Linked DNA regions of Drosophila melanogaster. The protein of the gene in region 2 interacts with the protein of the main gene of each other region in a pairwise test. Each region holds a gene or a part of one and is shown on either strand. Other genes may lie near its edges.

The links. Proteins that work in one complex are often made in the same cells at the same time.
Region 1: the proteins of Helz (region 2) and CG10154 interact in a two-hybrid assay, tested with the Drosophila melanogaster proteins (one large-scale study listed by BioGRID).

What each region holds. Positions count from the first base shown.
Region 1 is NT_037436.4:13,435,166-13,439,009, forward strand, and holds CG10154 (uncharacterized protein), read right to left. Parts: upstream 1,972-3,844; 5' UTR 1,932-1,971; coding exon 1,931-1,931; intron 1,867-1,930; coding exon 1,627-1,866; intron 1,541-1,626; coding exon 1,056-1,540; intron 914-1,055; coding exon 689-913; 3' UTR 515-688; downstream 1-514. Other genes in the region: CG10725 (uncharacterized protein), read left to right, coding at 2,821-2,821, 2,880-3,026, 3,085-3,521, 3,586-3,810.
Region 2 is NT_037436.4:14,788,061-14,792,980, reverse strand, and holds the start of Helz (helicase with zinc finger), read right to left. Parts: upstream 3,047-4,920; 5' UTR 2,909-3,046; intron 2,431-2,908; exon of another isoform or gene 2,377-2,430; intron 1,545-2,376; exon of another isoform or gene 1,431-1,544; intron 1,111-1,430; 5' UTR 1,021-1,110; intron 954-1,020; 5' UTR 851-953; coding exon 521-850; intron 321-520; coding exon 1-320. Other genes in the region: Tdrd3 (tudor domain containing 3), read right to left, coding at 3,393-3,662, 3,768-4,920.

The DNA.
Region 1 (3,844 bases), 1.4 Mb from region 2:
GGGTGGTTGTGAGGTTGTGTGTTGGACGATGGGTGATTCGCCTGCGATTCGAACGGCGCAAGGACTCGCAGCCAACTGAATGTGTGAATGCAGCTGGGCCAGCGTCGCGCTCGTTTTCACTTTCATGAGTTTCGCAGAGCGCTCTTTCACTTCCCACCGCCCCCACGGATGGTTTTCCTCTTTTTCCTTTTTGCCAACAGACAGCGTTTTGTTTTTGCTTTCTGTATATGTGGCCGTGCCACTCGGTGGGCGAGCGGGTGGTTGGCGTTTGCAACCAGAAGAGCATGAATGGGGTGCTCTGTGGAGCACTCTTTCTCTCTTTTTTGGAAAATAAACACTGTGGCTGCACAGCACATGCGCCGTTTACAAAACACCATTGTGAACGGGCCATCCAATTCAAATTGTAACGTTTTGTAGCAAACATTTTATTGGTAAATTAATTGAATTTATTTTTTTCCATTTCTTACTAGTGGAACTTTCTTGGGATGATAAGAGAGTCTTACACCAAATGATTGGTCCCTTTAATAAATCTTTAAAATAACGACACTAAAAATGTTATGTGCTCTTTTAAAAAACATTTCAGAATAAACAATTTGTATCACTTCTTACATTCACAAAATCTCTTATCATTTCATAAAATCGAAAATCAAAAGCAACAGGTTGTAATTATTTATTTATGAAAACTCAGTTAGACACCAACGAATTCAGGTCTGCGGCAATCCTCCACTTTGGGATCGTAGTAAAGACCCGGAGTGCAGTCTAGTGTGACTCCACGTCCTTCGACGCAGTAATAATATGCATCTCGGCGAGATTTGTGTGGGAAGAAGTGAGTTCCCATAAGGGGACACTTAATGTCAGCACGACGCAGAGGGGTTCGGGAATATGGCAGAATATTCCTGGCTACAGCATCAATCTAGAGATATTTAGGTATAAATAAATAAATTATTAAATTACTCCAGAAGCAGTATAAAATGTACTTTAAACCAATCCAAAACAATCAATTTAAAAATATATATTTGAAATGAAAAAAATCCACTTTCACTTTTTCTACTCACCGTGCAGTTAACATTCTTGGCAAAGTCGCAGCACTTGCAGCTGGGATTGTAGGCCAAGCCAGGAGCACACTGCTGTTCCCACGGATGACCATTGGAACAGACGTAATACTTGCTGCATGATGCCTTACTACCCAGGTAGATGATGTCCTCTGGCTGGAAGGTGGCGGAACAGTCGTTGGCCACACAGTCCACATACTCGGGGAAGTCACAGCGATCCGTGGCGTTGTTGTACTGGAGTCCATCGTGGCATTGGCGTAGCACGGGTTTGCCGTAATAGCAAAGCACGTACTTGGTACAGGTGTTGTCGTAGCAGAAGCTGCTCAATCGGAACGACTCACAGGTGGGCAGACACTGTACCTCCTCCATGTAGGTGCACACTTGGAGAACAGGATCGTAGCCCAGCTCACACGACTTGTTCGGATCGCAAATATCTGGATTATCCTTTGCCAAATCCAAGCAGCTGCCTACTTCCTTAATAGTATTGTCTTAAATACATGGATAGTTTAATGTATTAAAAATATTTTTCATTTGCTTTAAAAACTTATGTGATGTTTTAGTGTATATAACTCACTTTCACACTCGATATATTTGGAGCAATTTCCAACATAGGGCAAATAAACGCCATCCGCCACATTGCCGCAGACATTTATCTGGGTGTTTTCGTACATATCGTAAATATCCTTATCCTGAACATTTAGGCCCTCACCATCGTCGTCTGGACCGGGAGCTACTACAAGATCTTCATCGGCCCGGTTCCGATGAACCATCAAAATGATGAATAGTAGTAGGAGCCCATTTAATAGCCACTTCACTTGGGAAATTACGATTTATTAGGTAAATGAACTATAGGGAATCCCATCGCATGAGCAACTTACTCCTGGATAGTTTGAACTGTGTGCCACAACTGTTTGCTATCAGGCCAGGAAATATTCATTTTATATCGACTCTCTTTCATCGCCTAATGAGTTTTTGCCAATTTACACTTATCAACCAGGTTATTTCGGCACACGACTCCTCTAGAGGAAAACTACGCCATTATTTCTGCAAACATTTCGACTTTCAATTTGTCACCACCAAACTTGGCGATAATAGTCATAGTCGAAATGTTTTAAATAGACTGGTTCCCAGAACCCGTGGATATCGATGAAAAGTGTTTTAATTTCCTTGCACGTGTGGTTTTTTTTTTTATCACTTTAGTGCACGAGTGGTTTAAACATTCAAAGTATTACTGCGCTAGCGATTAAGATATGAAAAGAAAAATAAATAAAATAAAAAATAATTTTATAGAATAATACATTCTATTTGGATTAACTAGGAGCATTTCCTTCCTGTACAACAAATATACATACATATATCTTGAAGAAAATCTTAAACCTAAACTACAACTTAATAATTTCTAGATCTTCAAAGTAATGGGGCTTCCTATCCAAATATTCCAAACACTTGTAACAATTACATCGGATCTTGAGCGATCCGTGGTTCGATGATCAACTGTGACTCATCAATACACGTGTTTCCTAATGGCTGACAGAGGTGTATGTTCCTGAATATTGGCTCTTGTTCACCGAACTTATCTCCGCCAGACGAATTTGAATGAGGAAGAACAATCCAATTACCACATGGAAACATGCATCCACATCCGATAAGATTGGAAATTTGCACGGAATCAAAACAAATCGCAGATTGAATGGCAAGTGAGTTTGCCTATAAATGGAGGGGTTTTTCGAGGTAAGACGATAGTAACCGCAGGAAACCAACCTTGAATAGTGAGTATGAATTGCAGCTATGGAACCGAAATGATCTAACTTGGTTTATTTTCCAAAGTGATAAGTCGCCTGACCCTTTTGGCACTGGTTGCCCTGCTTGGAAGCTGTAGCGCTGCTGATGGCGATGTCAATGTCTGCTCCAATGTGGTCAACAATCTCTTTGTTCCCCAGGTGGGCAACTGTAGCAAGTACTTCCTGTGCATGAGTAAGTCACCAGCACCTGTGGATATCTAGTTCACCGCATTATCATGTTTCTATCCCAGATGAGATAGCTGTACCCCGTGAATGCCCCACGGACTACTACTTCGATGCGAGGGATCAGGAGTGTGTTCCCCTGATGGAGGTCGAGTGTATTGGATCCTGTAAGAACCGTGGTTTGTCATCGTTCTGTTACGATCGCACGTGCACCAAGTACGTTCTCTGCTTCGACGGCACTCCGGTGATCCGTCAGTGCTCCGATGGACTGCAGTACAACGCCCTGACCGATCGCTGTGACTATCCGCAGTATGTCGACTGCGTGGACAATCTGTGCAGCCGGAATAATAATCCGGATGACATCGTTTTCATACCCAGCAAGGCTCGCTGTGACAAGTACTACATTTGCATGGATGGTCTTCCTCAAGTCCAGAACTGCACAAGTGGCCTGCAGTACAATCCAAGCACTCAGAGCTGCGATTTCCCCTCGAAAGTCAACTGCACGGTGCGTGTTTTTTTTTATCTGAAGTTTTCTGGGAGCCACATAAAAACCTATTCATTTCATTCAGGTGGAGAGCCTTCAACGGAATATCCTGCCCTTTGCCCGAGCTCCGCCACGTCTCGCCGACATTGAGTGTCCATCGGAGGGCGCCCACTTTATTGCCCACCAGAAGCGTCAGGATGCGTACTACTACTGCCTGAATGGACGTGGAGTCACCTTGGACTGCACACCCGGCCTGGTGTTCGATGCCAAGCGCGAGGAGTGCCGTGAACCACACCTCGTGGGCTTCTAGTTACTCGAAATAAAGATCCAATACGATTTCAAAC
Region 2 (4,920 bases):
ATTCCATTGCCATTCTGCTGCTGTTGTTGCTGCTGCTGTTGCTGCTGCTGCTCCCGCTTCTTCAAGCCCTTGTTGCTGAGCAGCTTGCTGTACTTGTCCAGCGGCAGGTTGTTGGTGGCCCAGTGATCCAGTTTGGTATCCAGTATAGCCATCTCGTCCTCGAGACGGGCGTGTGGGATCTTCAGGGCCTGCGCCTTGTGCTGCCCGTTCATGATCATCTGAATGATGGACTTGTACCGCTCAAGGGTTTTCGATATGTCCGAGTATATCTGCTGGCCGCTCAGCTCGTTGATCCACTTGCTCAGGAAGATTTCGGCATCCTGAAAGAAAGTTGGAAAAGGGTAATGATTGCATAGTTCCAGTAAATTTCAGTATGTTTGGCACATTGTTACAATCTCATACAAGGCTCATTGAATTTTAAACTTAAGTCTTGGTAAATCATATAAGCATGTGCAGTGAAATGAAAAACCTTAAAAACAAGAGCAGGGATAAGCTCTTGTAAACTCCGGATTATACGTACCCCGTACTTGTGCATCTTGAAAAGAGCGTGGACGAGCCATCGGCGTGCCCTGGACACGCTGGCCAGGCACTCTGTTTGCTCGGAGAGCAGCGTGAGCACCTTGTAGGCGTCCGCCAGACAACCCTCGAACTTTCCCAGCTCTAGGAGGCACTCGCATCGTCCCAGTAGGCAGGCGATCTGCTGGTCCTTCTGGGCCCTTGATCCTGCACTCTGGCCACCGCTTCCCTGGCCGGGACTGGGCGCAATCAGCTGGTCGTAGAGCGCCACAGCACGGGCCCAACTCCGTCGTCGGACCATGTCGTGGGCCTGCATCTCCTTCTCGGCGGCCATCGTTTACTGGCTGGTGTTTAGTGGCTCCTCCGGGTGGTCAGTCATGCATGTGTGAAGTTTTCAGGTCCTTGTCTTGATCGCTCGTCTAAGCTCTACGGTAATTCTGTGGGGATAGTTTAAAGTTGTATTCTTGTATTCTTGATCATTTTATTCAGTGAATTTATACTTACACAATTTAACAGTTTTTGTGTGGTTAATAATAAGAAATCGATTATCGTTTTTACATTAATGTTTTAGATACTTTGCGGGCATTATGTTTACTGTAAAGAAAGATGTTTGGTTTTAGTTTTTATTTTCATGTTCGTATGGCGGATATACGGCTTATTTATGTTTTTATTGTGAATTGGTTGAGTGTAATGTTTTTAGATTTGGTTATGTTATTAATGTTATGTTATATTATGTTATATTTTTGGTTTTATAGAGCACGTGTTGTTTTCTTTCGTATTTATGTTTTTAAGTAGTTATTTCTCATGTAGAGTTTACTTTCACTTAGTTATTTCAATAAAGCACATTTATTGTCTTTGGTTTATAATAGTACTATACATTAATGTATGTTGTAATCTTTAATGTTTATAATTACCGTTGTGTTCTTGAAATTTGCACACAATTTCACATCTTAAGTATTCTAGTCCTGAATTTTCCTATTGGCGATTTCACATTTTAGATTACTTTAAAGACCGGCTTGTTTGTACGGATAATTATTTGGATATTGAAGAATTGATTAAATCATCTTCGTTGACTGCCAGTAATGTTCGCTAAATCCAAAACAGAAATTGTTTATATCTCGCTTCTTATCGGTTCCCAAACAATTGTGTGTACTTAGTACAAATATACAGACGGATTTATAGAGTGCGCCTGCAACTAAGAATATATATGTATATATGTACATATGTATGATAAACAATCCAAAGTGCTGTGTCTTTATTTTTCGATTTACACAATTTTCATTCTAATTCGGTTACGCAAAATTTCATAAGAGCAATTTTCACACTCGCACCGGCACAAAAGGGGGACGGAAAACTCGGAGGAGGGTGGCATCTCGGGGGGAGGAGAATCCGGTGGAAAACACTTGCACAGAACGAGAAAATTCGCCAGCATAATTAAAAGTAATTTTCAAGTTGTTTCTTATTATTTTTCTGCTTTTTTTTTTGGTAGAGGTGCTTGCTCTCTTTTATTTTTCCTGCTACTTTTTTCGCTGCGTGTATGCGTGCGTTTTGTTGTTGTGCGGTTTTTATTTATATGCGACAATAAATGGGTATTATTTATCAGTAAATTGCGAGCGCAGTTGGCGATCAAATGCAAATTCCAGAAGTTTTGAGCGTAATGTTGATTTTTCTTGGCTTTTTTATATACATGGCCGGATTTTCTTTGCCTGACGTTGTCTTTTCAGTTGTTTGCAGGCTAAACAAAGGCACTTTTCACGAATTTTCCGATGTTAGTCTACGGTTTATGTGGCTGGTTATGGTTGAAGCGTATTTAATTGTAAATTTGCACCAAGCCCGAGAATCGAGAAGGATTTATTTTACCATTTTTCTTTTTACGTGCTGAAAACAGCAGACAGTCGCCAGTGTTGGCCAACTTCGCAAGGCACTCGCCGAGTATCGCATGTGGAAATGAATGGTGGGATCAATCATATTTTCCAGTATTTAAGAAGTGACACATGCAACACATTTAATGACGGGCAATAATAATTTAATTTCGTTTATTTTAATGCCATGTTAATTGCTCAATAAAATCGGCACAAAACATTGCACGAATATCGACAACCGTCGCTTTGCAACACCGCATGCGAACTTGACAACACTGGCGCATGTACTACACGATGATTTTGCCATCATATGAAAATATATGCGCACAATACATGCATATGACCGCATTGCACTTTTATCTGATTAGTCAGTTATTTATACGGCTCGTTAATCGTTTTGCATGCTCAGCAAGCAAAATTTACTGCGCTGAACCCTTTCCAGCGCGTTTATGGCAAGTCAGCCAGCCAGCTGTACACTTGCTGGCCAATTTGTGCGTACATTTCGGGCTTTTGCACTCTTTTTGCGTTACCTTTGCACTAAATCCTATTGTTTGTACACTACGGACTAATTCTATTTTACATGGTTAAGCACAAAACTATGAGAGAAAATGCACATCACGTCGAAAAATGTTAAAAATAAGTTATGTATGTATGAGGGAAAATTCGCGAAATGCACCAGTGCTGAGCAGCGGCGCGAAATAGTGCTGAACATGTCGCGCAGAAATCAGGGACAATCGATAGTACTGCGCCAGGAATTAATCGAATTCGAATAATGTTTACAAAGAAATGTTAATTACTAAATTATTAAATAAAACTTTGCTTAATTCAATTTTTCACGTTATAGGAGATATATTCACTTAATAGGTAAGACGTAATCAACAGTACGCTTTAAATTATATGAAAGTCAGCAGATTACAAAATACGTACTCATAGTTTTAATATTCTGTAAAGTTGTTTATTCGAAACATGTTAATTGATTTAAATACGTTGTTAACAGGCTGTTACCATGTTGTCTCAATGCTCTCGTTTGTGGGGCGGCACGTAGACTTGCTGCTGCTGCGTCTGACGATCTCCGCGGTAGCGTGAATGTTGCTGCTGCTGTAGATGCGGTTGCTGTTGCTGCAGATGCGGTTGCTGCTGCTGCGCTGAGTTGCTCAGTGGCCTGTTTTGGGCATCGGTGATGGGCAGGATGTCGACCTTCAATACCTCCTCATGGTTTCCATAGCCCATAAAGAAGACCACGCAAGTTTTCTCCGACACGCCCGTGATCTCAGCCTCATAATACTGGAAAATAAAGAAGGAATGATAAGTTAAGTTCAATAGATCAATTTGAATACTTTGTCCTACTACAATTACGAATGTACTTTCAGTTTATCGACCTAAACTCACCCTTCCATCGTCCCAATACTTGGCCATGCACAAGTCGCCCTTCTGCCACATCCACGCATCGCCTGGCACCATGCCGAACTGATCCCGTGGCGCAGCCTGTGGCACAGCCACTGGAGCAGGTTGCGCACGGGAAACAGGAGCGGAAACGGGGCCAAAGGACATGGGTGGCGATTCCTGCTGTTCCTCCTCCTGTTGTTTTTCGTTGGGCAGTGTAACACCCTGGCTCTTTAGAAGGTTCATGGCAAACTCGTTGGCCTCCTTGCTCTGGAAACCCATGATCTTGCTGGGATCGTAAGTGTAGCCATTCGCCAATTGACTGTAGTTCGCCTGCGAATTGTGCCTGGGATTGTGATGCTTTTGGTTGGTTTGAGCCTTCTCTGGCTTCTGCGAATGCAACTGTGCTGGCTGCTGCTGCTGCGTTGTTTCTGTGCCCGATCCCGCCAGGCGATTGGCTTGTCCTCCTTGCTTACGTCGATTCTCTCGCTTTGGCGCACTGCTCACCTTGAGATTAGCTGTTTCCTCGGTTATCTTACTCAAACGGGCGTTGAAATCATCGCCAGCACTATTTGTCGATTTCGCTGCAGAACTCGCCGAAGTTAAGCTTGCTGCCGGCTTGTTTCGTCTGTTGCCATTGGCGTTGCCGTTCTCTGCTCGATTGGAGCCTCCACGATTGCTGCCTCGTTCGCTGCCACGTCGGTTGCCAGTGTGGTCCTTCCCATTGGTTGTTTCATGATCTGGCTTAATCTCGGAATTCGGTTTCAACGATACGTTATCCGAGCCATTGCGATTTGCGGTTTTTACGGTTGGCGTTTCTGGTTTGTAACGTCCAGCTGCACGATCATTGAACGCTCCTCGCTCTCGCGGTGGTCTCTCCTCTTTCGGCGGTTTTTCTTCCCTCGGAGGCCTGTCTTCCCTGTAGGCTCGCTCCTCTCTTGGTGGCCTTTCGTCCCTGCCGCCACCCCGGTTACGGCCACCGCCTCGCGACGAACCCACATGTCCACCACGATGTGCGGCAAAGCTGCTCGATACGTTGTTCTCAAACCTAGAACGATCTGCAAACTTGCCGCCTCCGCCCATAGCTGAAGGTTTGCTCTCGGAATCGCTGAAGCGCGAGCTTCCATATTGCTTAAATGGATTGAAGTGATTGGTAGTG